Linked DNA regions of Saccharomyces cerevisiae S288C. Changing the gene in region 3 together with the main gene of any one other region gives a genetic interaction. Each region holds a gene or a part of one and is shown on either strand. Other genes may lie near its edges.

Region 1 (7,580 bases), on a different chromosome or scaffold from region 3:
AATCTCAATCAAACCCATTGAAGCTTTTGCAATTCTAATTAAACGTGCACAGATCTTTTCCATCACGCTAACACATGATAAAAACTTCGTGTAGATCTTTTCGATGAAGAAATCAAATATTGAGAAGAGTGCGTATATAATCAATTAAGAAAAGTAACAAAGGTTGACGTGACTTTACTATAAGTGTATAATACCACTTAGACCGGAATGTCATCTTCCCGGTACTATTGATTGAAGTTTTTGCCTACTGAGTCTGTTTTAATCTTGAACAGCCAAAAATAATCCAATTGTCAATGAGCAGGTTGATTTTTATTACGCTAGTCTTGATGGACATTGTTTTGGCTTTAGACATCATAGAAAAGAGCAAAACAGTTACTGTCTCGACGAATTACCATGAAAAGCTCACCATCGAAAAAGATGTTTATTTAAGTCTCGTAGGTAGCTTTCACAACTTCTATTCTGATATGAAAGTAAACGGTGGTCTCTGTGTGTGTACGGATGATTCATCTATTAGAAAGAAAAAACAATAGTGCAGTAGGAAATTTTGAGAATCATTTTAATACCCTTATGGGTTTGTAAAGGAACACCGTTTGGAATTCTTATATGGGAAGGAGAAACCTTCAAGAAAATGGGAAATATAAGTAGGAGAGGTACTCATTTTTCTTCTAGTAGCTCCCAAAGTTTAGCAATTTCATTTTCAGTAATTCCTGCAATTTGCAGACGCAGGTTATCTGCAGTTCGGCAAAGAGCATGGAAGGTACCATAATAAATACCGATATTATTGCAGCTGAATCAGATCAATTAACCATATATATCTTATCCCACAATTTAGCATGATGGGTAATGGATGTCTTTGGGTCTGAAATTACCGCATTTTTTATATCGAAGATTTGAATAACATTTCAGTGGAGGAACAAACTATTGTTTTGTCATCAGAACCAAATGCCATTGTACTAGGATGTTTCGCAGATTTGCCTAGTCGTCAACCTCCAGTACATCGTTAAAAATCAGAAATTGCAAGACATCAACTTGGTTCCATGATAATAATCTAAAAATCAAGTCAATTCAAAATGGAATATTAGCTGTGACAACCATTGGCAGGAAGTACATTTTAGACTTTGGGCCTGGATATACAAGGGATCATTTTTTCATGGCTAATACTCCAGTGACCACTCAACTGTGGCAAAGCGGTAGGCCAAATTAATGCCGAAGTATTACGTACTACGAAAGTTAAGACTATGCTCTTTGCATATTCAGGTTGCCTTGCCCCTCAATGCATACCTGATATTAGTAGTTTCAAGGCGCTTCCATTCCGTGACACTGAGAGTCGGTTTACTACCGACTCTTCCGTAATCTCGAGCCGTTTTTCAAGTAGCTTTACGAGTAGTTCGAGCAAAATTATTATTATCACTTCTATTTTTTCCTCAAAAATGGATAACGAACATGTAGGTGCCTCTCTAATTGTTTCTTTGAGCATGGCTAGTCTAATCTTAACTAATGTGTTCAGTTTTAGCTCTACTAGCTATTCCTCGCAACCATCTGATTATATTGCATGCTCCCCCAGTGGTATTGATGACCAACCTGTGGCTGAACCTTCTGGATACACACCTGTTGGCTCCTCATCTCCACATTCTGGTTGTATTACTTCTGGTTTGGATGCAATAGGTTACCAATCTTCACTTAATGAAGGCCAATCGACGAATGCATCTTCCAGATTCGTCACAAAAGTTTACAGTCATTCTGCCTTAACTCATATAATTTTACATTTACTCAGTATCCTTCAGAAGTTTTACCTACAAGTAAGCACCATTTCTTAAACGATGCTATTACTGGGTTTGGCGAGATTACACTCTATTCAATAAGCAGTAGTAGGCAGTATTCCAGGAATCCTGCCTGTATTTCAAGCAAACTTACTGTACTTTCTTTAACCACCACTATTACACAATCAGCAAGTGACTTGATTAGTCAATCCATAAAATACATATTTTCTGTTTCATCTGGAAATAATACACAATTGACCAGTAAGGAAGCACTAAATACATTTTTTGATTCCTCAGCTAGCACAAAACTTACAATTCAAATACTTATAAGCCATCTTTACATCGATTGTATAGTGAAAGGGCAACTAGAACTCCATTTTGTGAGCTTCTCGATGATGAGCTTTTCAGACAGCAGCAAATCTAAAGGCCATTAACTAAATCAAGTTTCAGTGCCACTATCCTCACTTTGAGCTCTAAAATTGCATTTAGAGGACACTTCCTTATCTCGTTCTCGATTCAAAGGCCTTCTGAAAACTTCAGTAATGTCTGTATGCAAACAAGTAACCTGACTCCAACACTTCTGGATTTTAGCACTGCAGCCCAAAACAGTGCACCCAAGGAAACTTTAAATTCTATTTAATTTTCGGATGCGTTTAGTCAATTTTCTACTAATACCGCCACTCCTAATATAAGTGGTTCTTCCAGTCAAATTTTCAATCATGCTTCTCCCAATCTTGTAAGTAATGTTATCGTACAATGGAAAAGTGCATCAGTCCGTCTATCGTCATTCACATTCACACCAGCATTTTCTAGCGGTGTTAGTACTGTAACATTACGATAACGTCACTCAATATTTATTGAACACATTAGATGCAGAATACTTTACCCGTGGTTCATCTAGCTTCTTCGAAAGCGACAGTAGCAAATCTGAACCTCAATCCACGGGCGTTTTAGTTGCTTCTAGCCAATTCTCAAATGATTCCTTCATAACCTATTTGGACCAGGTATTCACTAGTACCACAACTCCAGTCAGTGCTTTTAGTAAATTTTCGCATACCCCCACTATTGGTACCTCAACTACTGTAGCTAGTAAAACTTCTGATATATTCAATTCATCATCTCTCAGCATTGTTAGAACGGTTGCGCACAAATAGCAGTACTCAACATGTATCTAGCACATTAGCCACAGAATACTTAGCCGCTGATTCATCTATTTTGTTCGAAAGTAAAGATAGCAGGTTTGCATTACAACCAACTTACACAAATCACAAGTATTTTTGGCGATCCCTCAAGCGATTCCCGCCTAATCCGTTCTAATTGGATCTCGACTAATATCACAACTTTAGCAAGCTCCATCAGCAAAATTGCACATATCATTGCAACCAAATCTTTGATTGATTCACCGACCAGCATTCAAACGGACACTGTTATTGTAGTATTTATTAGCTCAAGGGCTGTCACCCCTATAAACTCTAACATTATTTCTGGCCCATTCTTGAGTACTTATTTCCTCTTCTCAGGATACAAGATCTTGTACATTAGTTCCCTTTGTCTTATCCGACTTGTTCGCAATTCTTTAGGCTCAATGGCTAGCTCTAGCCAATTGTCTGCTCAACCTGCTTATACTACCTTAAACGATTTTACTCCGGCCAATCCTCCTGTGCAATTGTCAGACAGTTTGATTCTGTCAGTCATATTCTGACCTACAATTTGACGCTTTCGCCTTTTAACTCATTGAGCAAAAATAATACCGTCATTACAACACATCCAACAATCGAAAAACTGGCTAGTTCGACCACTAAAATGCTAAGGCATAGTTCTAGAGTGCTTCCCGGGTTTCGGATAAATCAATATATTAACAAAGCGAGCCACTTCACCGTCCTCTTTTGAACCCAAAGCTTCTAATATATTCTTCACTTTAACTACTTTCATGACTATATATAAAGAATGGACAATCGCTTTCACAAGCACATATTTCACCAAGTATCTACACTAAATGTCAACAACGTTAGGATGGTGGAAGAGCAATTAATGATTTTAGTACCCTGGTGTCCATTCTCCAGACCTGGCGCCGTGGATAAAACTACGAAGACGTTTGTGGCATCTTCGTTGTTGGACATCCATACATAAGTCGCTTCTGCTACTGTTAAACATACTTCTGTGCCCATAGCGGATAATAATATATATACAAGGAATATCATCGGGCGTCTAAGTTTTGGCATTGAATTAGTGTTTGGTCTAACTAGAGGTACTGATGTAGCCGTCACACCAGGATTTACCAAAATCGTAATCTCTACCAACAGCACCAGTGCAACTCCGCAGAACACTACAGCCGGGACCAAAACACATGAAAGCGGTTCGCTTCCAGCACCAAAAGCTACATCACCTATTCCCGGAGTTATTCTTTGAGCGCACTTCTTTTTAATAGTACTACTTTCCGGCCATTGAATTATGCCGAGAGCTGACAATTTAGTATATTACTGTATATCTAGTTCATTCTTCAAAATAAAGAATGCATAACCATTTTTTTATGTTTTTTCCGGAATTGGCTAAATTCACAAAAAAAAAGAGCATAAAGCGAATTGAATTGTCTCGCCAAGAAAACGCACTGAGAGGACGATTGATCCTCCAGACAAGATCGGAATTTTTACTTTTCTGTTTTTAACAATCACTCATGTGCATTGCACCTTACACATGGCGTTCCAAAGGCTTACCTGGTGTGTTTTCTTCCATGCGCGATTCCGTGCTCACCGCGGCTTCGCCTATATTCTACCTGTACTCTACACGTTTATTGTTAAACAACCCCGGAATATCTTCCATGCCAGTTGTTTCAGGAACAAAGCCCGTGTTGCAAAAAAAGAATGGCGTGGGGTGGGGTGATTATCTAGACCATGGGATGCAACTAGGAAAGTTAAAACTCACCTAGCAAACTGCTGTAATTTCCGCTTCAGAAAACAAGCTCGACTTTTACCCCACGAAGCCTAACCATCGAAAGTAAGACAAAAATTAGCAACCGAAACAGACGGTTAGAATTTTTCTTCGCTGCAGTAAAAGCATTGGCGCCCAGTATTCTCCTTGCACCTGGTCTTACCTCGAACTTTTCTTTTTACATCTTTTTCATTTTTTTACTTTTACCCCGCATCCTGCAAACCCCGGAAATTTTATTAGGAATAATTTATTTCCCGGTTGGAAATAAACCGGAAAAATGAAGATTTAGACGCTTTTAAGGAGTACGTGTTCCTGTCGTTTATCCACTAAGTATACTGGTTGCCCCTGGCCAGATCTCAGTATAGCAGTGACGCGTGGGTTTCAGGAAGAATGGCAGTCCCCTTTTGTTTTTCCGCATTGTGTGAGCTTCTTATGCCCCTGAACCCCACTATTCTGCCCCTTTGAAACTCCCGCACGTGTGCCCCGTTTGTTGGAAGATAGCGAAATACCTTACTGGAGCAACCAGGAAAAATACTCTGGTTGCAAAAACCAACAAAAGAAAAAATGGAAGACCTAAGAACTATGCATTTTTTTTTAAGGGGTTGATGAAAAGAAAAAGTTTCTTTCTCCCCCCGGATTTTGGTACCTTAGGACCGTTGAGAGGAATAGTAACAAGTGAACGCAACAAAGATTGTTCTCAACTGCTTCTGTTTCCTCCTTTTCTTTAAAGAGGAATATTTCGTATATAAGCAATCGGTTTCACTTCCTTGGGAATATTCTACCGTTCCTTCATCTTGTATTCTTCTCTTTCTCTTAGCGCAATATATAGCAGAAGAGCAATAAGAAACAATTGTGGCTTGCAATACTCAATTAGAATTCTTTTCTTTTAATCAAACTCACCCAAACAACTCAATTAGAATACTGAAAAAATAAGATGGTTCATTTAGGTCCAAAGAAACCACAGGCTAGAAAGGGTTCCATGGCTGATGTGCCCAAGGAATTGATGGATGAAATTCATCAGTTGGAAGATATGTTTACAGTTGACAGCGAGACCTTGAGAAAGGTTGTTAAGCACTTTATCGACGAATTGAATAAAGGTTTGACAAAGAAGGGAGGTAACATTCCAATGATTCCCGGTTGGGTCATGGAATTCCCAACAGGTAAAGAATCTGGTAACTATTTGGCCATTGATTTGGGTGGTACTAACTTAAGAGTCGTGTTGGTCAAGTTGAGCGGTAACCATACCTTTGACACCACTCAATCCAAGTATAAACTACCACATGACATGAGAACCACTAAGCACCAAGAGGAGTTATGGTCCTTTATTGCCGACTCTTTGAAGGACTTTATGGTCGAGCAAGAATTGCTAAACACCAAGGACACCTTACCATTAGGTTTCACCTTCTCGTACCCAGCTTCCCAAAACAAGATTAACGAAGGTATTTTGCAAAGATGGACCAAGGGTTTCGATATTCCAAATGTCGAAGGCCACGATGTCGTCCCATTGCTACAAAACGAAATTTCCAAGAGAGAGTTGCCTATTGAAATTGTAGCATTGATTAATGATACTGTTGGTACTTTAATTGCCTCATACTACACTGACCCAGAGACTAAGATGGGTGTGATTTTCGGTACTGGTGTCAACGGTGCTTTCTATGATGTTGTTTCCGATATCGAAAAGTTGGAGGGCAAATTAGCAGACGATATTCCAAGTAACTCTCCAATGGCTATCAATTGTGAATATGGTTCCTTCGATAATGAACATTTGGTCTTGCCAAGAACCAAGTACGATGTTGCTGTCGACGAACAATCTCCAAGACCTGGTCAACAAGCTTTTGAAAAGATGACCTCCGGTTACTACTTGGGTGAATTGTTGCGTCTAGTGTTACTTGAATTAAACGAGAAGGGCTTGATGTTGAAGGATCAAGATCTAAGCAAGTTGAAACAACCATACATCATGGATACCTCCTACCCAGCAAGAATCGAGGATGATCCATTTGAAAACTTGGAAGATACTGATGACATCTTCCAAAAGGACTTTGGTGTCAAGACCACTCTGCCAGAACGTAAGTTGATTAGAAGACTTTGTGAATTGATCGGTACCAGAGCTGCTAGATTAGCTGTTTGTGGTATTGCCGCTATTTGCCAAAAGAGAGGTTACAAGACTGGTCACATTGCCGCTGACGGTTCTGTCTATAACAAATACCCAGGTTTCAAGGAAGCCGCCGCTAAGGGTTTGAGAGATATCTATGGATGGACTGGTGACGCAAGCAAAGATCCAATTACGATTGTTCCAGCTGAGGATGGTTCAGGTGCAGGTGCTGCTGTTATTGCTGCATTGTCCGAAAAAAGAATTGCCGAAGGTAAGTCTCTTGGTATCATTGGCGCTTAATGAAAAAAATGTAATGAAATATAAATGTGTTTTTCCCTCCCTTAATATTATTATTCTTATGAGTGATGCCCTTATGTTTTTTTTGCGGTCTAGTATATGTAAATATAGACACACACATATATATATATTTATGTGTATAATCCTAGCTAATAAACATTTTTAGATTGTTATTAGTATAATTTTTTCCACTTACTTTGTTCTCCGGGAGAGAAAAAGTTGTTTATTTTGTAGTAATTTTGTGCACATATTATATATACAAATATTACACAATATTTTCAATACTTATGGCATAATCCATTGCTTTTTCGATAATGTTTGTCTTTTGGTCTTCTTCATGCATCATTTCATCTTCGTAATCAGCTTTCTCCTTTGATTGGTTATTGAAGTAAACTTTCGAGTTGACAATAGGCCAGTTTCTCTCTAGTGCAAATTTTTCAGTTTCTTTTTCGTTGTTGAAAAAGAGCAAAGCCTTTATGTTGGAGAGAGGGAGAAAGTCGTAG
Region 2 (7,689 bases), on a different chromosome or scaffold from region 3:
TCATAACATATTCTCTACATTAGATATGAGCTATGGAACTATAAATGATATGAATGAATCGGTAACGAACTATCGAATAAAAAAAGCCCAAAACAATATCAAGGGATGGTACGCTTACTCATTTTCTAGCGAACCATTTGTCGTTTCTGCGGTTTCAACGTATATTCCCTTACTACTGCAGCAATTTGCGAGTATAAATGGTGTAAAAGTTCACGATCACTCCATACCCTGCCTGTCAGAAACGGGTAGTGATTCAGATAAGTGTGTTCTTGGTTTGTTCAACAATCGGATCTTCGTAGATACTTCAAGTTTTGCATTATATGTCTTTTCCCTTAGCGTTTTATTCCAAACTATAATAGTCATTTCCGTTTCAGGGATAGTAGATCTCTGGGGGAGCGTTAAATTCAAAGGCAGAATTCTGGTTTGGTTTGGTATTGTGGGCGCATTGTCGACTGTTGCGATTTCAAAATTGAATGATACCCAGATTTATTCTCTGGCTGGGCTTTATATAGTGGCCAATGGTTGTTTTGGCGTTATCAATGTTGTTGGGAATTCTCTTCTGCCCATTTTTGTCAAGGATTCTTTGAAATGTCAAAGTCAAGGAGCTTATGAACCTGATAAGGTAGACTCGTTAACTACTGTTATTAGCGGTAGAGGTGCATCTTTAGGTTATTCAAGTGCCCTCATTGTTCAGATTGTATCTATGTTCTTAGTCGCATCTAAAAAGGGCAGTAAGCAGGATGTTCAAGTGGCTGTTCTTTTCGTTGGGATTTGGTGGTTTGTGTGGCAACTGCCCATGATCTGGTTGATTGACGATGTGACAATACCGATAAGAGTTGACGATTCTACATTAGCATCCGCCCGCAGTCCGTATCCCGGTGAGCAAGACGCCTTGGGTCAACTAAACTGGAAGAATTACCTTTCATATGGTTGGGTTTCGCTTTTCGAATCGTTTAAACATGCCAGACTATTGAAAGATGTGATGATTTTTCTTATTGCGTGGTTTATTATTAGTGATTCCATTACAACTATAAATTCTACAGCGGTTTTGTTCTCCAAGGCAGAACTGCACATGAGTACCCTCAATTTAATCATGATAAGTGTTTTGACCGTTGTAAATGCAATGCTGGGTGCCTTTATGATTCCACAATTTCTTGCCACAAAGTTTCGGTGGACTTCTAGTCAAACTTTGATGTACATTATCATTTGGGCAAGTTTCATACCATTTTATGGTATTCTTGGATTTTTCTTCAATGCGTTCGGTTTAAAGCATAAGTTTGAAATGTTCTTATTGGCCATTTGGTATGGATTATCACTAGGTGGCCTGTCCGCGGTTTCAAGATCAGTTTTCAGTTTGATTGTACCTCCAGGAAAAGAATCCACGTTTTTTAGTATGTTCAGTATCACAGATAAGGGGTCGTCCATCCTGGGACCCTTCCTTGTTGGACTGCTTACCGATAAAACGCATAATATTCGCTATTCGTTTTATTTCTTCTTTTTGCTTTTGATGCTATCATTGCCTGTGCTAAACTGTTTGGATGTCAAGAGAGGTAGAAGAGAGGCTGAAGAACTCAGTCAAGTTTTACCTGAAAGTGAAAGAAGGTTGGATTAGTTCTTTTTTTTTTTTTGTTACATAAAACTTTGCTTACGTATATATATAAGGTGGAGTATTAATTTCTTGAAATTTTCCAGATTTTTATCTTACCGTCATCACCGCCAGAAGCAAACATTTCTTTATCTGCAGGGTTTGATGCAACTACGTTACAATTTTTCCCCATGGGTTTTGTGGAATTACTCATTACCGTGGAATGACCGGATAAAACAGATACTAGGTTACCTCTAATTCTATCCCAAATGTAAATTTTACCATCTTCTGATCCGCTCATGACAAGCTTATTACCGTAGGCGAAGCAAGATCTGATAATAAAGTGCTGTTGCTTCTGTCCAAAGTACTTTTGTATGAGAATATTTTCTTTATAGTCCCACATTTGTAATTCGTTATCTTGAAGGCTAACTAATACCAAATGTTGAGACTCGGATATTTGTTGCCTATGGAAGCCTTGATGCGTGGTATTTAGCGGTAATGAGATACAAGTCATGTTTTTGCCCACGTCCAATCTTGCGATCCTTGGAATCAGAAAGTTTTTGGGATCCACTGTTTGCTTAGATAGCTCCTCTTTGGAGGGGAACCCACTGAAATCGTAGACATCTATAACGCCCTGGTGGGTCATTAAAAGCACGTATTTATCGTCATAGCTGATTTTCACGTCGTGCACACGTGGAAAGGTTTCGTCGTCCTCCACATATTGCCAGTTACCATTGCTACTTGTTGGTTTGTAAAGGACTTTTGCAGGATCGATTGATTTTCTCCCAGAGATGTTTTCATCGTGGCCCAACGCGATACAAGTCCTGCCTTTTAAGCTAAAAAGTGACTCTTTCGTGGTGAGTGAGTGTACAATAGCTTCTCTGTCGGGCGATCCAACCACCATCCAGCCCGCACGTTCCGCAGTGTGGAAGGCATCGCAGCACCATACTCTTGATTGATTAGAATTCGCGTTTGCCGGCCTCGAGGAAGATGATGCTGATGATTCGGTATCATCTGGGTACGTGGTGGTGTCCAGTTTAAACGAGTCCATGGGCGAGAGCCTGGTAGAAGGGTATAGTAGGAACGAGTCTGTGGCAGACGCATCGGGCAGGGAGGTGGCATTCATGTCGTAAATGGTAACATCTTCGCTGAAAGGGCAAGCAACCAGATACCGGCTATCAGGAGAAAACATGAGGTACAATACGGATTGTGACAAGCTCACGCAAGTCTTATAAATTTTGAAGTCTTGTTCCACATCATAAACAGTAATGAAGTAGCCTCTTGAAGACTCGGAAGTCGCAGAAGCCAAATACTTGCCATTGGGCGAAAATGTCAAAAACCAAATTTCGTCTGTGGTGTCTTGGATAGTCTTCCATTCTTGAAAGGTCACAGTCAGATCGTGTGAGAAGTTATCCTGCAAAAGGTTGATCCGGTGGGGTGGAGAGGAGAAAGAGGCGTCATCATCCGGATCGATGATATTAAAAATGTCTTGTGATTGTTGATACTTGATGGCCTGTTTCAAGAGATGCAAGAGACGACCCTTGGGAACGAGTTCGTTCGGATCGATATATTTGGAGATGGCGTCAATCAGATGGTCTCGCTCGAGGTTCAACTGCGCGGTTAGTTTTGGGTTGGTCAGGTACGTCGACAGTTCTCTCAAGGTCGTTTCCGGATTGAAGATGTTTTCTTCATTTAGGAACTGATCGTTAGACACCAGCAGGGAATCCCATATCTCGATGAAGTTTTTGAGGATTTTGCGCAAATACAGGACGGGCAGTGCAGTGTGAGGGCCCTTGTGAGAGGCGGAATTTGTGACTGGATGGAAGAATTCGAGGAATATTTGTCTATTAACTAGAATCATGATCTCTACGTAATTTCTGAGCGTGGCGATCTCTGCGTCCGAACAAGTAGATGAATTTACAGAGCTCATCAGCTGTTGCAGGTATTGCAGTTGCAGGAGCATGTGGTCGAAAAGTGAAGTCGTGGCGGGCGTCGGCGTGGGAATGAGCAGCCTTTGAAGCCATTCGGACCTTAGCGGAGAGCTATGGGCAAGGGGCAGCGAGCAAACAATCTGCCAATTAATAAGATGGAATTGGCCGGTCTTGATGAGTTTGAAGAAAGTCTGGATGTGGTTAGACTCATTTTGATATCCGCCGCTCTCTAGCAGTAACTGGTTAGCGGCGGAGTCGTAGCCCAGCTCCTTTAGAGTATGTATCAGTAATTTAGTGAGCTGTTTCTTGTCAAAACAACCAACGGAAGAGGGCGAGGCTGTTTCCTCCGTGTCATTGTTCAACACGTATGCGATCTTATTAGTGTGTGACATTTTATTAGTTGAAGTAGTACGCCCCCTTGGAAGTGTTTTTCATATTTGACTTCCAAAAATGATAAAGGAAGACCTAGCAAGGCATTTATTGTTCTTCATTTTCCCTTAAAAACCAAAGGCCCGTTTCCGATGATATTGTTCATTAATGTGAGAAAATCATACATACATACATACGTTCTTATACGGTATTGTATAAGAATGTATGTATATACACTGAAAATATACATATATATATATATATATAAAGGAGAGAAGATGGTAAGTACGGTGGGATACGTACACAAACCAAAAAAATGTAAAAAGATCATGCTACAAGCGCACACAAGGCGGCACCCACTCCGGAACCATCCTTGGCAATCTTCAAGTGCACCTTCCTCTCACCCTCGGCACCCAAGGGTGACAAGGCTAAGGCGTGTCTCAGCATAGATCTGAAACCGGGGTAGTATTCCACAACGGAACCATCACAACCGATCTCGACTTCACCATGATATCTCTTGTTCAAAGCATTTGTCTTGATCAATATCGCGGCAAGCGGCACGGCGGCTAAATACGCAGATCTCCTAGAAATCGCGCGCACCAATTTTTGAATTTGAACACGCTCTGTTGGAGTGGTGGGCAGTCTGAGACTCTGTAATAATGACAACTCTGTTTCACGTAGACCTGTCGAGTCGTCAATTTCAATATGCGACAGCACTTCGGATGACAACTGGAAAGGTGTAGTCAAGTGGCGAGGAAGTTGTTCCTTGGACCTGTACTGTTGCAAAAGCAAGCCTTGCGAGTGCAAGTCCACTAAAATGTTACGCAACACCTCACCCAAGAACATCCCTGAGACACGTTTTTCAAACAAGTGAAATCCCGGGTTCGTTGACAGTTTCTGGTCAATTACGACGTCATACTTAGTAGTAGGCAAGTGCTTGAGCTCATTATCGAAGGACCCCCATTCGACATTGATGATCATGTGTGTCTTACCCTCCTTTATCAACTTGTCACGCAACTCCTGTGGCAACTTCGTGATCTTGTTGATCTCCTCCATATAGCACCCATTGGTACCGGTACCGAAAATACATCCGATGACCGGCTCCGAGATTTCTCCGGACGTCATTGAGTCCGTGTTATCGGACGTGTAGCAATGCGATAGGTACGTTCCGACGGTGTCGTTGGTTAATGCAACAACCTTGATCATAGGCATACCCTGAGCGCTTAATTGCTCCTGGTACAATTGCACGACATCCTTTCCGACGGTGTCCGCGATGCGGAAACCCTTGGTCCAACGGATCAATGTCCCGGAGTTTAGAGAGGTCTGGTCTACAGGGTATGAGAAAGTGAACCCCAGTTTCATGGGCTTGGCGTCTTTACCCTTGGCCAACTCGTCCGGGTGATACTTCTTCATAAAGGCCAGTGTACGACGTGCTAGAAACCCAAACAGGTCGTCAGATGTGACGTTCTCATCGTCTAGCAAATCATCGGGAATCTTGGACTTCATTTGCTCCATGGAGAAAGTATGATCTCCATGCAAGTTAACAGAACATATACGGAAATTGGTACCACCCAGGTCGGCGGCTAGTAAAACACCGCGCTCCGTCCCGTTGGGTGACCCGGTGACGAACGCCGGAATCATAGGAAGACCTTTGTCCGAGGCCAATGTGTGGCCTTCCTTTGGTGGAGCTAGACCTTTTTCCATTTGTTCGATGAAGTAAGCAGTTAATTCGTCCAGCTTCTCGGGGGTAACCTCGAAATCGTCGCAGATCTGGTCCACGGCCTGGATGACCGCTCTCTCAGTGGCTTTGTGTAAGTCGTCGAATGACATCTTGTGTATGATAGAGTTGTATTAGTGGTGGTGTTGTGGTTTACGGAAGCTGAGTTGGGCACTGATGGGGGGGTTGGGGGTTCTGTTGATAGCGGATATTTATATGGGCGCGTTTTCATTAGTGCCCACCGTTTGAGCGTGGTGTGACACCACGCCCAAGATAGGGGGCCCCCTGAAAGGGGTTGACCGTCCGTCGGCACACCACTTATAATGCGGGGTGCAAGCGCCGCGTCTAAAATTTTTTTTTTTTCCATTTTTGTCGTTATTGTTATTTCCCGTTTTTTGTTTTTTTTGATTTTTTCGGAGCGACAAACCTTTCGAAACACGTGTCCTGAAAATTATCCTGGGCTGCACGTGATAATATGTTACCCTGTCGGGCGGCGCCTCTTTTTCCCTTTTCTCTCACTAGTCTCTTTTTCCAATTTGCCACCGTGTAGCATTTTGTTGTGCTGTTACAACCACAACAAAACGAAAAACCCGTATGGACATACATATATATATATATATATATATATATTTTGTTACGCGTGCATTTTCTTGTTGCAAGCAGCATGTCTAATTGGTAATTTTAAAGCTGCCAAGCTCTACATAAAGAAAAACATACATCTATCCCGTTATGAAGTTTTCTGCTGGTGCCGTCCTGTCATGGTCCTCCCTGCTGCTCGCCTCCTCTGTTTTCGCCCAACAAGAGGCTGTGGCCCCTGAAGACTCCGCTGTCGTTAAGTTGGCCACCGACTCCTTCAATGAGTACATTCAGTCGCACGACTTGGTGCTTGCGGAGTTTTTTGCTCCATGGTGTGGCCACTGTAAGAACATGGCTCCTGAATACGTTAAAGCCGCCGAGACTTTAGTTGAGAAAAACATTACCTTGGCCCAGATCGACTGTACTGAAAACCAGGATCTGTGTATGGAACACAACATTCCAGGGTTCCCAAGCTTGAAGATTTTCAAAAACAGCGATGTTAACAACTCGATCGATTACGAGGGACCTAGAACTGCCGAGGCCATTGTCCAATTCATGATCAAGCAAAGCCAACCGGCTGTCGCCGTTGTTGCTGATCTACCAGCTTACCTTGCTAACGAGACTTTTGTCACTCCAGTTATCGTCCAATCCGGTAAGATTGACGCCGACTTCAACGCCACCTTTTACTCCATGGCCAACAAACACTTCAACGACTACGACTTTGTCTCCGCTGAAAACGCAGACGATGATTTCAAGCTTTCTATTTACTTGCCCTCCGCCATGGACGAGCCTGTAGTATACAACGGTAAGAAAGCCGATATCGCTGACGCTGATGTTTTTGAAAAATGGTTGCAAGTGGAAGCCTTGCCCTACTTTGGTGAAATCGACGGTTCCGTTTTCGCCCAATACGTCGAAAGCGGTTTGCCTTTGGGTTACTTATTCTACAATGACGAGGAAGAATTGGAAGAATACAAGCCTCTCTTTACCGAGTTGGCCAAAAAGAACAGAGGTCTAATGAACTTTGTTAGCATCGATGCCAGAAAATTCGGCAGACACGCCGGCAACTTGAACATGAAGGAACAATTCCCTCTATTTGCCATCCACGACATGACTGAAGACTTGAAGTACGGTTTGCCTCAACTCTCTGAAGAGGCGTTTGACGAATTGAGCGACAAGATCGTGTTGGAGTCTAAGGCTATTGAATCTTTGGTTAAGGACTTCTTGAAAGGTGATGCCTCCCCAATCGTGAAGTCCCAAGAGATCTTCGAGAACCAAGATTCCTCTGTCTTCCAATTGGTCGGTAAGAACCATGACGAAATCGTCAACGACCCAAAGAAGGACGTTCTTGTTTTGTACTATGCCCCATGGTGTGGTCACTGTAAGAGATTGGCCCCAACTTACCAAGAACTAGCTGATACCTACGCCAACGCCACATCCGACGTTTTGATTGCTAAACTAGACCACACTGAAAACGATGTCAGAGGCGTCGTAATTGAAGGTTACCCAACAAT
Region 3 (9,083 bases):
ACCTGTCTCACCATCGTCACCTTTCAAAATTTCATCTTCGATAGAATGTGAAAGACCAGCCATTCTTTCCTTTTCTAATAGTTCCCTTCTTTCAGTCGCCTTTCGTTGAATTGGCGCTAATTGCTTTCTTCTCCTTTTCATAAACACTGCCATTTCATCGTCTGGGTTTCTGGTGAACTCAAATACCGTTTCCTTGTTTCTTCTGTTTTGCAATTTAGCCAAAAAATCCAATTTTTCCTTCTCTTCATTTTTACCAAAAAATGCATTTTGAGCATCCCAGCCAGAAGAAATGATCTCTTTACTTCTCTTTAAAGATTCAGGGGAGGCGGAAGTGCGTGTTCTGTAGTAAAGTTTTTCTGCCTTCATGGCTGTTTTCTTCGCCAACTGAAGGTCAAAATTAGAGGACATCAGATTCTTATAAAGATCACCTAAGCCTTCAACATCCAGTCTTGGACATGAACCTAGAACGAGTCTTTTTGTGTAAGAAAGCTTTGGGGGTTGAAATTGATATTCCGGTTTTCCTTCATCTATCCACCTTTTCTTCATCACGTCGACTAGACTATCGTACATTGGTGTTAGAAGAATTTTTTTCCCCAAAAATAGCTCCAAATCTAATAGGTAAGGTAATTCATTTTCAGCGACAATGGAATATGCCCAACCTTTGTTACCGGCTCTTGCAGTTCTACCTACACGATGTACAAAAATTTTTGATGAACCAGGTAATGTGTAATTAATAACATTGGCTAACATTGGAATATCGACACCTCTTGCAGCAACATCTGTAACAACCAAAATGGAAGTTAAGCCCGCCCTAAAATTATATAATTGACGTTTACGAGCATGTTGGTCCAAAGTACCGTAGATGTACGAAATCAAGTATCCGCAGTCTCTTAAGAGTTGAGAAATGTATTCCACATGATGTCTTGTTGGAACGAACAGAATAGTTGCTTTTTCAGAAGGAAGTTCATTAGCTGCAGGCATTTTTTGTTTACGGAACTTTTCCTTCTTGAAATTCCTCCTCTTCTTTTGGCGATCATTTTCATCATCTGAGTCACTATCTGCCTCATTGTTACTATTTTGCAGCTTTTGAAGTTGTTCACTAGTGGCTAACGGAATCTTTATGATTTCTTGCAAAATATATAATAGGTTCGCCTCTCTATCTGCGTTTTTACTGGATAGAAAAAGCATTTCTAAGTTCTCTGAAACTTTCGTTTCCGCGTCCAAACGAACCAAAACTGGATTAACCAAACCAGCCTTAACAAAATCAACCAATGAATTAGGTAGAGTAGCAGAAAACAACAAAGTCTGTCTTGTTGTAGGCAAAGATGCAAGTAATTCATTCAACTGTTCTTGAAAACCCATTTCGAACAACCTATCAGCTTCATCGAAAACAACGTACTCAACACTCTTCAAATCGAGGTTCATTTCAACTTTCAGATGTAAAAATCTACCAGGTGTTGCAATAATAACGTCTGGGTTGGTCATCATCATGCCAAATTGTTCTTCCAAGGAATCACCACCAGTCAAGAGGACGCTTCTTAGTTCTGTTCCTCTGGCAAAATCCTTGAAAACGTTGAAAGTCTGCATGGCTAATTCTCTGGAAGGCGATAAGATGACTGCACGGGCGCCAATTTTACCTGAGTGACTTTTCAATTTTTCCACCATTGGCAAGATGAATGCTGCAGTCTTACCAGAACCGGTACGTGCCATACCAACAATATCCCTACTTTGCAAAATTAATGGGATAGTCTTCCTTTGAATAGGAGTGGGTTGGCGAAATCCCTTCCTTTTAATATTGTTCAATACAATTTTGGATAGGCCAAAGCTGGGAAAACTACCTTTTTTATGCTTTGTTTTCTCCAAGTTATTTGTGGAGAAATATTCATTGACATCATCCTCATCATCACCGGTTTGAGTTTTACCAGATGCATTGTTTTCATCATCTGACATTTCTAACATTGGAAATGCTGCTATTTCCTTCTTACTATTCTTTTTTTTCTTGATGTCCTTGTTTTCAGCCTTCTTCTTATTGTTCACTCCTTCTTCTTCATCTGAGCTGTACTCGATCACATCCTGGACATCGTTGGGACCATAATCAGCTTCAACTTCACTATCGGAGTCGTTAGCATCACTCTCACTATCATTTAAGGCAATTTCATTTGCAATATCAAAGGCGATGTCGTCCTCCTCGCTTCCATTGTCGTCTTGATCTTCGAGATCCCTTTTTCTTTTCTGCACGCCTGCCATATTCTAGGTTAAAGAGATATGTGGTGGTAACTTAAATGACAAAAGTACTTTTAGTGACTTTACTTCAAGCAGTAGGAAGTTAGTGAAGTACTAGTAACTCTCTGTAAAGCCATTTTGTATGAATTTCATCTCATCGCTTGAAAATTTTAAGAGCGCCGGGTAGTAACAATTGGTCTCTTATTTTTTTCTTTCAATAGTTGAGGCAAAACATTGCTTTATTGTAAAAGAATGAAAGTTTGGAAACATACAAGAACGTTAAAAATGTGAGCGTATTGATTTGGCAATCGATTCAAGTCAGATAACAATGCTGGCAAGATATTTAAATTTAATAGGACGGAGGAGTGCTTCACCGTACAGACCACAGCGGCTACCGGCAAAGTTTGACAACGTGATAGTGGCAATGTCATCTGGGGTAGATTCCTCTGTGGCGGCAGCACTATTTGCCGGAGAATTTCCAAATACCCGAGGAGTATATATGCAGAACTGGTCTGAATCACAATCTTTGGACGACCCTGGCAAGGAGCCATGCTACGAGAGGGATTGGAGAGATGTGAACCGTGTCGCTAAGCATTTGAACATCCGAGTTGACAAAGTTAATTTTGAGCAAGATTATTGGATAGATGTATTTGAACCAATGTTGAGAGGCTACAGTGAAGGGTCGACACCCAATCCAGATATCGGTTGCAACAAGTTCGTCAAGTTCGGCAAGCTGAGAGAGTGGCTGGATGAGAAGTATGGGACGGGTAACTATTGGCTTGTTACTGGTCATTACGCCCGAGTTATGCAGGAAATGAATGGAAAAGGATTATTCCATTTACTGAGAAGCATTTATAGGCCCAAGGATCAAAGCTATTACCTTTCACAAATCAACTCCACTGTTTTGTCATCTTTGTTGCTACCCATTGGCCATCTAACGAAACCAGAAGTACGAGATTTAGCGAAGTATGCAGGCCTCCCGACTGCAGAAAAGCCTGATTCACAGGGCATATGCTTCGTCAACAATTCCCAGCATGGGAAGTTCAAGAATTTTTTAAAGCACTACCTACCCAGTTCACCGGGTGATATCATTACCGTTGACCCACAATCCGGTGCCAAAACGACATGGGGCAGACACGATGGATTGTGGTCTTACACAATTGGACAGAAAGTGGGCATATCCATGCCACAAGCTGACCCTAATTACCAAGGGACCTGGTTTGTCAGTGAAAAACTAAGGGATACCAACGAAATCTTGATAGTCAGAGGAAGAGATAATCCGGCGCTATACAGTGACACTATGCGAATCGAAAACTTTTCGTCTTTGGGCCCCAGGGAGGACACTATAAACGCTTTCCAAAATACTGGTGCCTTGACATTACAATTCCGGTCCCTGCAGGTCCCAGTCCAAATTAAATCGTGCAAACTGAATCGCTCTGCCGACAACCTCGACATAACAATACACTTAGCCTCAAAACAACGTGCCATAACTCCTGGGCAATCGTGCTGTCTATATATCGACGATAGAGTCCTTGGGAGTGGGCCCATTTCCCATGTTAATAATAATGACACCCATGCATAGTGATGATAATGAATTTAGTATATCACCTTATACGATGCGCCGCAGCAATTAATCTTAGCAACATACTTGCCTAATTGAACCACGGTGGTACGATACAGCCAAGAAGAGCTCATGAAGCGGCTGACCATTTCGAAAAGTAATCTGTATATATGAAGGTCTTTTCCCTTGAATCATGTCTCAATAAGTAGTTCATTTTTTTTTGCCCTCTTGTTTTTCTTTTTCATTTTTTTAAATCACACTTTTTTTTCTTTTCAAGATTTATAAATCTTCCTTCCAGGTTTGAGCCGGACCCATTGTTTAATTAAAGCATAGAAGGCAACGAAGGAGTGGGTTATAGAATTAGCATTGCGGCAAAAACGTCATATTTATTAATATTTATTTGCGAAGGTCATATTCAACGCAATCGCACGTCCTCTTCCGTCTTTTTTCTAGCTTTTGTCCTTTTTTATTTGTCTACATCCCTTTCTCTACGGTATCCAGAAGAAGGTGTGTGTGTGTGTGTGTGTGTGTGTCTATAAAAAGCAGTAAGAGTCACCAAAAAAAAAAAACGACAAACAAGTGATCCGAAGTGTGACGAATAAAGCAAACTCTCCAACTCAAAATGATAACTGAGGGATTTCCCCCGAATTTAAACGCGTTGAAAGGGTCATCCTTACTAGAAAAGAGAGTTGATTCTCTCCGACAGCTTAACACTACCACGGTTAACCAGCTGCTGGGGTTGCCGGGGATGACCTCTACATTCACGGCTCCGCAACTGTTGCAGTTAAGAATAATAGCTATAACTGCGTCTGCCGTGTCCCTTATTGCCGGTTGCCTCGGAATGTTCTTCCTTTCTAAAATGGATAAGAGACGAAAAGTCTTCAGACATGATCTCATCGCATTTTTGATAATTTGCGACTTTCTTAAAGCTTTTATTCTGATGATTTATCCCATGATTATCCTTATTAATAATAGTGTGTATGCAACACCTGCATTTTTTAATACCTTGGGTTGGTTTACGGCCTTTGCCATCGAAGGTGCAGACATGGCCATAATGATATTCGCCATACATTTTGCTATTTTGATCTTCAAGCCTAATTGGAAATGGCGAAATAAAAGATCGGGAAATATGGAGGGTGGCTTGTACAAAAAAAGGTCATATATCTGGCCAATTACTGCATTAGTACCTGCCATTTTAGCAAGCTTAGCCTTCATTAATTATAATAAACTCAATGACGATTCTGACACCACTATTATACTGGATAATAATAACTACAACTTTCCCGATTCTCCCAGGCAAGGTGGCTACAAACCTTGGAGTGCATGGTGCTATTTACCACCCAAGCCGTACTGGTATAAAATTGTTTTAAGCTGGGGTCCCAGATATTTCATTATTATTTTCATATTTGCAGTCTACCTCAGTATTTATATTTTCATTACCAGTGAAAGTAAAAGAATTAAAGCGCAAATTGGAGACTTTAACCATAACGTACTAGAGGAAGAGAAAGAAAAGAAAAAATTATTTGGGCTCGGTCACTGGGGAAAAGCCAAATGGTATTTCAGATCCTATTTTAAATTGCCATTGCTACATCTTTTGAGAAATTTAAAGAATTTTTTCACCATTTCGTTCATAGATCCGAATGAGGAAACAGACGATTCAGGTAGTAGTAATGGAACTTTCAATTTTGGTGAGAGTTCGAATGAGATACCTACACTATTCAGAAAAACAAATACAGGTAGTGATGAGAATGTCTCGGCAAGTGGTGGAGTTCGCTTACTTGACTATAACAGTGCTAAACCACTCGATATGTCCAAATATGCAATGTCTGAACAGCCAGATTTGGAAAGAAATAATCCTTTTGATTGTGAAAATGACATCACACTCAATCCTTCGGAACTAGTATCCAAGCAAAAGGAGCATAAAGTTACTTTTAGTGTTGAAAATGAAGGACTGGATACAAGAAAAAGTTCAATGCTGGGACATCAGACTTTCTCTTGCCAAAATTCTCTAGAATCTCCTTTAGCAATGTATGATAATAAGAACGATAACAGCGACATAACTAGTAACATTAAGGAAAAAGGAGGCATCATCAACAACAACAGTAACAACGACGACGACGACAACAACAACAATAACGATAACGATAACGATAACAATAATAGCAATAATAATAATAACAATAATAATAATAACAATAATAATAATAACAATAATAATAACAATAACAACAACAACAACAATAATAATAATAATAGTAATAATATTAAAAATAACGTTGATAACAATAATACTAATCCAGCCGATAATATTCCTACACTTTCTAATGAAGCATTTACTCCGTCTCAACAATTTTCACAGGAGAGAGTGAATAATAATGCAGACAGATGCGAAAATTCAAGTTTCACCAACGTACAACAGCATTTCCAAGCCCAAACCTACAAACAAATGAAAAAACGTAGGGCACAAATTCAAAAGAATCTAAGGGCAATATTCATTTATCCACTGTCGTATATTGGGATATGGCTTTTCCCCATCATTGCAGATGCGTTGCAATACAATCATGAAATAAAGCATGGGCCTACCATGTGGGTGACATACATTGACACTTGCGTTCGACCATTAAGTTGTCTCGTCGACGTCATTGTTTACCTGTTCAAGGAAAAACCTTGGAACTATTCATGGGCAAAAACAGAATCAAAATATCTCATTGAAAAATATATTCTGAAAGGAGAGCTTGGTGAAAAGGAAATTCTGAAGTTTTGTCACAGCAATTGGGGGAAAAGAGGTTGGTATTATCGTGGTAAGTGGAAGAAAAGAAAATGCTGGAAATATTCTACAAACCCTCTGAAGCGTATACTGTGGTTTGTTGAACGCTTCTTTAAACAATTGTTTGAACTAAAACTACACTTTAGTTTTTATGACAATTGTGACGATTTTGAATACTGGGAAAACTACTATTCAGCCAAAGATTCAAACGATAATAAACGCACAGAATCTGATGAGACTAAAACGAATAGTAGCGATCGCTCCCTTCCATCAAATTCACTTGAACTACAGGCAATGCTTAATAACATCACGGCCGAAGAGGTTGAAGTGCCCTTGTTTTGGAGGATCATTCATCATATTCCAATGCTTGGCGGAATAGATCTTGATGAGTTAAACAGATTGTTGAAAATACGGTACAATAACGACCATTTTTCTCTACCCGGGTTGAAATTTGCATTAAACCAAAATAAAAGTCACGATAAACATCAGGACGTCTCAACTAACAGTATGGTCAAATCCAGCTTCTTTTCAAGCAATATTGTCACAAACGATGATGAGAATAGCATTGAAGAGGATAAGAATTTACGCTATTCAGATGCTAGTGCATCTGAAAATTATCTGGTCAAGCCCACAATACCAGGTACGACTCCTGATCCAATAATTGAGGCGCAGAACGATAATGATAGTAGTGATAGTAGCGGCATAGATTTGATAGCCTTCTTAAGAAATGGACCATTATAAAGTTTTTGTATCGCGATGTTTGAAAATGGAAAGTAAGGAACGTAATACAAATTGACAAGTAGCCGACATGAATGACGCTCACTTCTCTTATATATGTTAGGTAGTATATGCATTATAGAATTTATTCATTGAAGCAATGTGATTCCTCGATAAGTAAGCTTTTTTTCTGTCTGGCGGCGAACCATTAGAGAACAAAAGACCGAGTTAAGAAAAAGTTCATAAAAAACTTTTGAAAATGGATGAGTGCTCGTATAATGGAATAGGAAACTTATGCAAAGAAATAATAGGTTAAGAAATTTGTTTACAGTGCCAGTAATAATGGCTCGACAACTCAAAAGGAATGCATTATCTGCAGGTCTTGCTTTTGCAGGTAATGCAACCTCAAATGAGTTTGATGAACATTTGCAAAATGAGGTTGAAAGAGAGAGGGAAATTCAAAAGAAAAAAAAAATAAAGCGAACTCAATCAAAAAAATCGCCAGATTTGATTAATAAATCTACTTTTCAATCACGAACGATAGGCAGCAAAAAAGAGAAACATAGACAACTAGATCCAGAGTATGAAATTGTCATCGATGGCCCTCTAAGGAAAATCAAGCCCTACCATTTTACGTACAGGACCTTTTGCAAAGAGCGTTGGAGAGATAAAAAATTGGTTGATGTCTTTATATCTGAATTTCGAGATCGTGAATCTGAATATTATAAAAGAACAATCGAAAACGGGGACGTTCATATAAACGATGAAACTGCGGACTTATCTACTGTAATTCGCAATGGTGACCTGATTACGCATCAGGTACATAGACATGAACCTCCAGTCACTTCCAGGCCTATCAAAGTTATTTTTGAAGATGATAACATAATGGTTATTGATAAACCGAGCGGTATACCTGTTCACCCAACTGGCCGATATCGGTTCAATACAATTACGAAAATGCTTCAAAATAATCTCGGATTTGTTGTGAACCCATGTAATAGGTTAGATAGGCTTACAAGTGGATTAATGTTTTTGGCAAAAACTCCGAAGGGAGCCGATAATATCGGCGATCAACTAAAAGCTCGAGAAGTCACTAAGGAATACGTGGCCAAGGTAGTTGGAGAATTTCCAGAAACGGAAGTAATTGTTGAAAAACCTCTAAAACTGATCGAGCCAAGGCTTGCTCTTAATGCAGTTTGTCAAATGGACGAGAAAGGAGCCAAACATGCAAAAACTGTTTTTAACAGAATCAGCTACGACGGTAAAACGAGTATTGTAAAGTGCAAACCGCTTACCGGGCGATCACATCAAATTAGAGTACATTTACAGTACTTAGGCCACCCAATTGCTAACGATCCTATTTATTCCAATGATGAAGTATGGGGTAACAATCTCGGAAAAGGCGGCCAGGCTGACTTCGATATAGTTATTACTAAGCTAGACGAAATAGGGAAAAGAAAACCTGCTAAAAGTTGGTTCCATAGTAATGGCGGGTACGGTGAGGTATTAAGGCAAGAAAAATGTTCTATTTGTGAATCTGATTTGTATACTGATCCTGGCCCCAATGATCTTGATCTGTGGTTACATGCCTATCTATACGAATCAACTGAGACTGAAGAAGGAACCGAAAAGAAAAAGTGGTGCTACAAAACAGAGTATCCAGAATGGGCTCTGAGAAGATAGAGGTTCCTGACTTGTCGGACAATAATACATAGAAAACTGGTCTTCTGTTATAATCAGTCATTGGCCAATCAAAAATGACAGTAACAGAACATCACGCTACAATCTTAATCTTAATTTATAAAAAAGCTAAAA
Region 4 (8,095 bases), 180 kb from region 3:
CAGCAGAAAGACGCCAGATTACTTTTTATGAGTATGTATACATATATGCATCTATATAGATATATATTCACTTTTCTCCTTTACCATTATCATAGTTAATTACACATTTAGCCAAAAATAAACTGCAAATTGCCTTGCAAATTTTCTTCTTTTATTATTCTTCAGATATATCAATCAATACGAGGCTTTTTTTCCTCCCCAACGCTTTAATCATTCTGATCATTACTCCGGGTGAAACGGTTCTCTAACGCGATCGTTTAAATTTCGCGATAGATCAGGGAAACGTTATAAAGATTGAGTGGAAAGAACTTCCATTCTTCAGGCTGCTTGTATTACTTTGATTCTTTTTCTAGCCACACGAATAACTCGAGTATTGAGCTTTTTTATTAGAGAAAAACTGAATAATGGCCGAAGAAAGTACCGACTTTAGTCAATTCGAAGAGGAGAGAAACAACGATCAGTATAAAGTTTCAGCCAAAAAAACTGTTGACGAATACAAAAATCTGGATGCTGAAGACGAATCCTTGGCGAAATGGAAAGAGTCTTTGGGTCTAAGTTCAGACGTCTTGCCATTGGAATTTCCCGGTGACAAAAGGAAGGTGGTTGTTCAAAAAATTCAATTACTAGTCAATACAGAACCAAATCCTATCACATTTGATCTTACCAACGAAAAGACAATCAAAGAACTGGCATCTAAAAGATACAAAATTAAAGAAAATTCTATTTATAAGTTGAAGATTGTGTTCAAAGTTCAACATGAAATTATCACAGGGTTGCGATATGTCCAGTATATCAAAAAAGCGGGTATTGCCGTTGACAAGATAGACGATCATTTGGGATCGTATGCTCCTAATACCAAGACCAAACCATTTTATGAGGTGGAACTACCGGAAAGTGAAGCACCTAGTGGGTTTTTAGCAAGAGGTAACTACAGTGCCGTATCAAAATTCATTGATGATGATAAAACTAACCACTTGACTTTAAATTGGGGGGTCGAAATTGTCAAAAAATAATAAGTTCTTGAAATGCACAATGTAGATATGGCCTGTATAAACAAGAGCATACCTTTATCTACATATGGATTAATACGACTTTCCTGTTCTACTACACTTTTTTTTTCTTAATTTCAAATTGAAGTATAGGGGTAGGGCTCCTGACTGATTATGACGTCGGATCCTATGACAAAGATGGCAAATAAAAATTTAATGTAGTATATTGATTTAGCTAGTAGATCACTAATAAAATAAATTGCCGTTTGGTGTTCTTAAAAAATACAAATTAAACTATATCCAAAAATCAAATATTAAAATGATAATCTAACGAAATTAAGCCTTGATAGCGTACTTTCTTTGTGGGAAAGCGATTTGCTTCTTTCTTTGCTTTTCGGTAACTTGGGAAGCTTCGAATTTGGTCAAAGCTCTTCTCAAAGCTCTGGTCTTCTTGGCTCTCAAGTCCTTTGGTTGGTACTTCTTACCCTTGTATAATTGTCTAACAGCTTCTCTTTGTTGTTCGTTGATGACGGTCAAGACACAGGCGATACTCTTTCTGACGGTCTTGATCTTTGGCAAAGATGGTCTGGACAACTTTTGGACCTTCAATTCAGCCAACTCCTTTTTCAAGTCAACCAATTGAGAAGCTAATTGTTCCTTGGATTTGGTTCTTAGTTCGTAAGCTTTAACGCCGGCCTATTGATAAGAAAATGGGAACAAAAAATCATAACTGTTAGTAAAAGTTCCTGTTTTTATGAGCCAGTTTCAAATTTTTAGATTCTCGTATACACTAATACGCTCTGTGCAATGCATTATCCAAAAAAAATAGTTCACATGTGGTTCCAGGTTTCTGAAGACCAATATTATAATTTCGAAAACTTCCAAACAATTTTAACAAGTGCCATAAACTTATAAATTTCTGTTACCAAGTTGTAGCTGGTGAGATCTCTCTGATATTTGCCTGCAAGGTTTGCAGTAATACTGTAGCTGTAAATTTTCTTCAGACCACTTGATTATTTATCCTGCAGACATTAAAGGAGACTTTTTTCTTCCATAGCACATTATATCACGTCCGTTTCATGTATATTCATCTCTACATACCATTTTTAGTCCTATTTGGTTCTTTATCGTGTTCTCACTGTACTACCAAACCCCCAAAAAAGAGATGTGAGTAGATTTTCAATATATCCATTTCTCATATGATGACGATTGCAGGCCTCTATTTACCCTCATCTTCAGTAAAATTTCACAATCGACATGAAAAAAAATTCAAATGTTTGGGTGCTGAATCCATGGTGGAAAATTCGTAGCATATGCCAGACTTTGTGTTGGACTCGCTGCCGTCAGGCAAACCACAGATGCAATATTATAGAATAAAATGTACGGGTTCAAAGCAGGGCCTCTTTTCATTTTTTCATATAGTAGTGGTATAATTCTGAATGTCATCATGGCGCCCGTTACAAGCCGTTGCAATATTAAAGAGCTAGTAAGTTTATTTTCAGTGCACCATCATTATCCTATCTTATACAACTATACAGTGGTTTATATCTTCAACAATCATAAAAATAAAACAATCTAGAAACAAAACACACAAGGTCCGCATGACTAAACGTTCTATACAGATTTAGATTAGGATTGATTCTTCAAGTTGTTGCTTAACCACTCCAGACCTTCGTACAGACCTTCACCCGAGGTTGCACAAGTAGACTGGATAAACCATGGACGGTTTCTAATAGAATGTAAACCTAATTTTTCGGTGATTTCAGCAGCAGACATGGCTTCTGGCAAATCTTGTTTGTTAGCGAAGACTAACCAGACAGCATTTCTCAATTCATCTTCATTCAGCATTCTCTGCATGACTTCTCTGGCTTCACCAATACGCGATCTATCGTTGGAATCGATGACAAAAATAACACCTTCGGTGTTTCTGTAGTAGTGTCTCCATAAAGATCTAATCCTGTCTTGTCCACCGACGTCCCAGACAGTGAAGGAAATGTTCTTATATTGGACAGTCTCAACGTTGAAACCAATGGTTGGAATGGTAGTGATAACTTCGCCCAACTTCAACTTGTACAAAACGGTGGTCTTACCGGCACCATCTAGACCAACCATAAGTATACGCATCTCTTTGTTGCCAAAAAGATTGCTGAATAACTTAGAAGCGTATAGACCCATCTTTTCTCTATGAAATCTTAATTCCTTTTTTTTTTATCTCTATTGGTTGGCTGATGTTAGTAATTACTACTTAAAGAAAAAAAGAGAGATATTGAGCACAGAGACGCTAACAAGAAGAACTTCTGTTGACTTTGTATGTCAACTCCTTATCTTCGTTCGAAAAACATCAGAGCCGTACTGCTCGACTCCCCACAATTAGGATAACTAGGCCCTATTAGATAATCAATACGGCTTCCTGATCAAATAAAGGGGCGCCTTTAGGAACTCATCCCACCGTTCAGTGGAGAGAGTCCTTCCTTCTGGGTATGATATAACACGTAGTACCAGATAGTGTCGTGCGTCTATCCCTCCTAATGAAACTCGTTACATACAAAGTGTCTGCCTTATCTTTAGCCTATTGCAACTTGAGTCTGCGTAGAAAGTTTCCGAAGAATTAAACTACTATTAACAAAGGGAATGGAAAGAGCTAAAACAGTTCAACCGATAACAGGTGACGAGGTAACAATAATCGCACACGTCCGATCTCCTGTAAGGGTATATGTGTACTATTCAAAAGGAGTACGTGGAGGTGCAAGATCGAACAACAACAACCCGCATCTGGAACCCGGTGATTTAGGAAACCATACATCGTTAACGTACCACATGATGTAGATTATCCGGGTAATAGTTATGATCAGTTGACCCATTTTGTATTCCACTTGACACCGAATTAACGAGGAAAAATCAAACTCATGGGCTACTTGTGAGTAATGTTATGTGTTATCTATAATTCTTTTCTATGTCTATCATGTTGGAATGTTAAAAGAAACTCAAGAGTGCGTGTATAAGAATAATTTATATAAAACGGTTTATAAGACCTCGAACGATCGTAAGATGCTATTGGTTTTTATTGGGGGGAAGTGTATTGGCTGTGCTTACTAGCGAGGTCACTCGTCCAATTAGAGGACGTTCTTGCATTGCTATTGTGTGATGGAGAGAACGATGTGTCGTTGCTTGTAGTAGATGAGCTATTGATTAGTTGAGCCATATATGTATTGACGCTGTTAGCTCCATTTCGTTCAGTGTTGTTATTGTAATAAGAAGAGTCATTTTCCTCATAGAACTCATCAGTAGAGTCAGAAATGATAGAAGGAGGACCTCTATTGTATGTATTCAGACCCAAACCATTCCCCAAGTCGACGTAATTTACTGGCGGATGTTCCACGGGTTTAAACTCTGTAGATGTTAGGGGGGCAGTATCGATGATGTTTACTAACGAGCCACTTCCTTTATCCGCCGCAATCATATGATCATTGGACTGTATTTGGTTCTCCAAGAATCCATCCACATCGATTATGTTGTGGCTGTCATCCTGTACAATTGGACTGTTGTTGTTGTCCAACTTTCCAGCGTTCTTGATATTAGTTTTCATCTCTATTTGTTGTGAAATGGGAAAGGCTAAGCACCTTTTCCTTATTTTTTTGTTCCATTTGCTAGAAATGACGCTATTTGGGGCCTTTCTAAATAACTCGTCAATCTCTTCCAAAGTCAATCCCCTCGTTTCATAAACAGCGAAATAAACAACGATAACGGCCACGACATTTAAGCCGCCCCAAATGAAGAATATTTTGGGCCCCATTGAAGAAGTGTGTGATCCGACATCAACAATGTAAGGTGTAATCAGGGCACAGGTGAAATTAACTAGCCAATTTGCGGCAGCGCATATGGCGGTACATTTCGATCTGACACCAAGTGGGTACAGTTCAGCAGATACCACCCACACGACACCACCCCATGTCGCCGAAAATGCAGCAATGAAAAGGCATATAAAAGCAATCATAATTTTACTAGCAACAACAGTTTTTCCCTCGGAAACACCAACGATGGCAATGACTAAATTTGCTATTGCCATTATGACACCTCCAGCAAGAAGGACTGGTCTTCTACCAATTCGATCCACTAAATACATACCCGGTATACTGAAGGCGACGTTGACGGCATAGCTGATAAAAGAAACCAAGTAAGAGTTGTCCACCCCTGTGTTGTTGAAAAAATTAACTCCATAGTAGAATATAAAATTGATACCAGATGCCTGTTGAAAAGCTTGTATGGCGATACCAGTAAATATTCGTAAAATCTGTTTGGGTCTATTTTCACTTGTTTTGAAACAATCTAAAAGTGTTGACGGGCCGAACGATGCTTCATAATCGTAAGTGGCTTTTATTTCAACAAGCTCCTCTAAGAGTCTTGGATCTTCGATCGGGAGGCCTCTTAAAAAGGATAACGATTTTGCAGCTTTATTGAGTTCATCCTTCAAGACGTAATATCTTGGACTCTCTGGAAGGAATATCATGCCCACAGCTAAAATACTTGACCAAACGTACTGCAAACCAATTGGTATTCTATATGAAGACGGGCCATTTTTGGAATGAGTTCCTTGCGATACTGCACTGGACACGAGTAACCCAATAGTGATAGCCCACTGATAACTGGAAATGATGGCACCTCTAAGGTTCTTCTGCGCAGCTTCAGCTTGATAAAGAGGAACCACAGCAGAGATTATCCCGATCCCGATACCTGAGATCACTCTTCCGACGATTAATAGCACCAAGCCACCGGATGCCACCTGTAATGAGTTTCCGATGGAAAAGATAACAGCGGTACTAAACATAATTGTTGGCTTCCTACCATATGAATCTGAAATATAGGGAGCGATTAACGCACCGAAAAATGTTCCTAGGGAGAGGAATGATACGAGTATGGCTATTTGGCTAGTGGTGAAATATGAATGGTTCGGAGCAATGTAGGTTTTAACATACGGCATATCCGTGATACTGTTTATAAGTCCAGTGTCATACCCAAACAAGAAGCCCCCCACGGCAACAAATATGCCTACCAAGACAGACATCACATTCGATCGCAGCGGCAGCGGTTGCGATAGTAGAATGGACGTGGTTTCTATAGCTCCATCTCCCGCCGGCTCATTATTTGTGTAGGAAATTTGGTATGCGTTAGGATCGTCGCACATCACTATGGACTTTGCTTCCGTGTCATTCGTAGATTCTGTGTATGCATTGCGGTGTGGCATGTTGTTATGATTTATCGTACATTCTGCACCCTGGTGGTGGCCGAAGTCATTTCCAGGATTCAGATGACTATTTTCTTCCCTCTGTCGTAGGCAGTTTTGGCTATCGTTCATACAAGCAATATTCGAGATATTTCCATATATATATAGTGGTTTCTGTGCAACTTGATGGTTTAGACTATTGATACTATTCCTGATCTGCTCTTTAATTTCACAAGCGAATGCCTTAGCGTCAACTAAAAAAAATGAATACTGGATGTTATATGAAATTAGGCAAAGGTTTATTGTTCGATGCTCTCCACTTATGAAATAGATACGCTGAAGAGCTTATGTCTGTTCCATGTATATGTTCTACTTTCGAGGTGGAGGAAGAAGCAAAGGGGAAGCGTGTACGGCAGGTAGTCACCGTTGAGTCGGTAATGAGATAATAGCCAAGCGCGGAATTAGATTTTTTTTAATAATTTTTGCCCATTGCGGTAAGTATCACACTTTTTCACATATGAGCCGATTAAATTCTTTGTTCAATTTATCTCGGGGAGGAAAACTCAGATAAGAAATGACGGAGTTAGATTGAAAAAATCGGAAATCATTTTGTTAGGCATGCGGTAGAATTGGATAGGGTAGCGGCGACATCTCTATGCCGATGGACGATGCAGGAACAGGGAACCCTTTTCTTGCAAGGAAAAAGGCGCTAGTATCACAATTGCTACTTTTCATTAAAAGGTTATCTGTGCCATGTATATACCCTGCATATCTGAAATAAAACAGATTTTTTTTTTGTGAATTGGGTTTGACTTACTTTGTTGTAAGGGCTTCAGCTTGTTAGTTAATTTTAAGGAATTATTAAAAGAAAAAATCCTGCTTATCATTTTTTTTTTATATTTTGTTGTTGGTTTCAGGAAAAAGGGAGCTTTGCAAAAAAAAATAAAAAAAAATTGACAGGATGATCTATAAATATATTAATTGACCTATATAATGGTTTACACTGTATGGTTTCTAATCTGTACAAAAAAAAAAAAAAAAACCCTACAGAAATATGTTAAACAGCTAATAAACGAAATCCAATAAGAAGAAAATGTACCTCAGTCCAAGAATGGGCTATTATTATTTTAAGTTTCGAAAGTTTTTCCACTAAAATCAGAACTAAATAATGGAATGGCCGTCTGCCGGATCAGCATAAAAACATCTTCACAAGTTTCATACTTTTTTTGTCTGAAGCTGTGAAGCTTTACTTTAAGTAACTGTCATCTTTTCCTATTGTAACGTATTTTATATAATGCGCAGGCGGAAGGAGAAAGTTTCAAGGGCGCCATGAAAAAAGCTTCAGTACCGCGATTTTTCAGCTAATGGATCAGATGATATATAAACAAAAAGTGGGATACAGCATATCGACGCCTCCACTACAAATTAACAGAAGGATGAAAACCAATAAGAAAATTTCTAAAAGAAGAAGCCTGAAAAATCTCCATGGTGCCTTAAAAGGACTATTGAAAGAGTCCGGCAAGAAGAGTGAGTCCAAAATACGAAAACATAGCGATTGCAATCCTGTTCATCGAGTATATCCGCCAAATATCGAAAAACGGAAGACCAAAAAGGACGATGGAATTTCACGGCCAATTGCTGAAAGAAATGGTCATGTGTATATAATGTCCAAGGAAAACCACATCATCCCTAAACTAACCGATGATGAAGTCATGGAGCGCCACAAACTAGCAGACGAAAACATGAGAAAAGTGTGGTCCAACATCATAAGCAAATACGAGTCTATTGAAGAACAAGGAGACCTCGTAGACCTGAAAACTGGTGAAATAGTTGAAGATAATGGGCATATCAAGACGCTGACGGCCAACAACAGCACGAAAGATAA

What was found.
Region 1: of GPR1 (region 3) and HXK1, changing one enhances a phenotype caused by changing the other (phenotypic enhancement), as found in Saccharomyces cerevisiae (2 studies listed by BioGRID).
Region 2: of GPR1 (region 3) and GLK1, changing one enhances a phenotype caused by changing the other (phenotypic enhancement), as found in Saccharomyces cerevisiae (2 studies listed by BioGRID).
Region 4: of GPR1 (region 3) and RGT2, changing one enhances a phenotype caused by changing the other (phenotypic enhancement), as found in Saccharomyces cerevisiae (3 studies listed by BioGRID, with this or other methods).

Annotation. Positions count from the first base shown.
Region 1 is NC_001138.5:253,092-260,671, reverse strand, and holds HXK1 (hexokinase 1), read left to right. Parts: upstream 1-5,622; coding exon 5,623-7,080; downstream 7,081-7,580. Other genes in the region: YFR054C (uncharacterized protein), read left to right, coding at 1,239-1,817; proteasome regulatory particle lid subunit RPN12, read right to left, coding at 7,343-7,580. UniProt on the Saccharomyces cerevisiae protein: Catalyzes the phosphorylation of hexose, such as D-glucose and D-fructose, to hexose 6-phosphate (D-glucose 6-phosphate and D-fructose 6-phosphate, respectively).
Region 2 is NC_001135.5:48,864-56,552, reverse strand, and holds GLK1 (glucokinase), read right to left. Parts: upstream 5,716-7,689; coding exon 4,213-5,715; downstream 1-4,212. Other genes in the region: ATG22 (Atg22p), read left to right, coding at 26-1,612; glucose-induced degradation complex subunit GID7, read right to left, coding at 1,671-3,908; YCL042W (uncharacterized protein), read right to left, coding at 5,610-5,969; protein disulfide isomerase PDI1, read left to right, coding at 6,332-7,689. UniProt on the Saccharomyces cerevisiae protein: Two isoenzymes, hexokinase-1 and hexokinase-2, can phosphorylate keto- and aldohexoses in yeast, whereas a third isoenzyme, GLK, is specific for aldohexoses. All glucose phosphorylating enzymes are involved in glucose uptake.
Region 3 is NC_001136.10:387,381-396,463, reverse strand, and holds GPR1 (Gpr1p), read left to right. Parts: upstream 1-4,406; coding exon 4,407-7,292; downstream 7,293-9,083. Other genes in the region: ATP-dependent RNA helicase DBP10, read right to left, coding at 1-2,247; SLM3 (tRNA-5-taurinomethyluridine 2-sulfurtransferase), read left to right, coding at 2,552-3,805; pseudouridine synthase PUS9, read left to right, coding at 7,563-8,951. UniProt on the Saccharomyces cerevisiae protein: Seems to associate with GPA2 and act as G protein-coupled receptor that senses glucose and controls filamentous growth.
Region 4 is NC_001136.10:211,598-219,692, reverse strand, and holds RGT2 (glucose sensor), read right to left. Parts: upstream 6,343-8,095; coding exon 4,051-6,342; downstream 1-4,050. Other genes in the region: phosphoprotein phosphatase 2A catalytic subunit PPH21, read left to right, coding at 1-31; RDI1 (Rdi1p), read left to right, coding at 405-1,013; 60S ribosomal protein uL29 RPL35B, read right to left, coding at 1,326-1,685, 2,091-2,093; Arf family GTPase ARF2, read right to left, coding at 2,619-3,164; SCM3 (Scm3p), read left to right, coding at 7,647-8,095. UniProt on the Saccharomyces cerevisiae protein: Low-affinity high glucose sensor that is part of the sensor/receptor-repressor (SSR) glucose-signaling pathway, which detects extracellular glucose and induces expression of glucose transporters that bring glucose into the cell.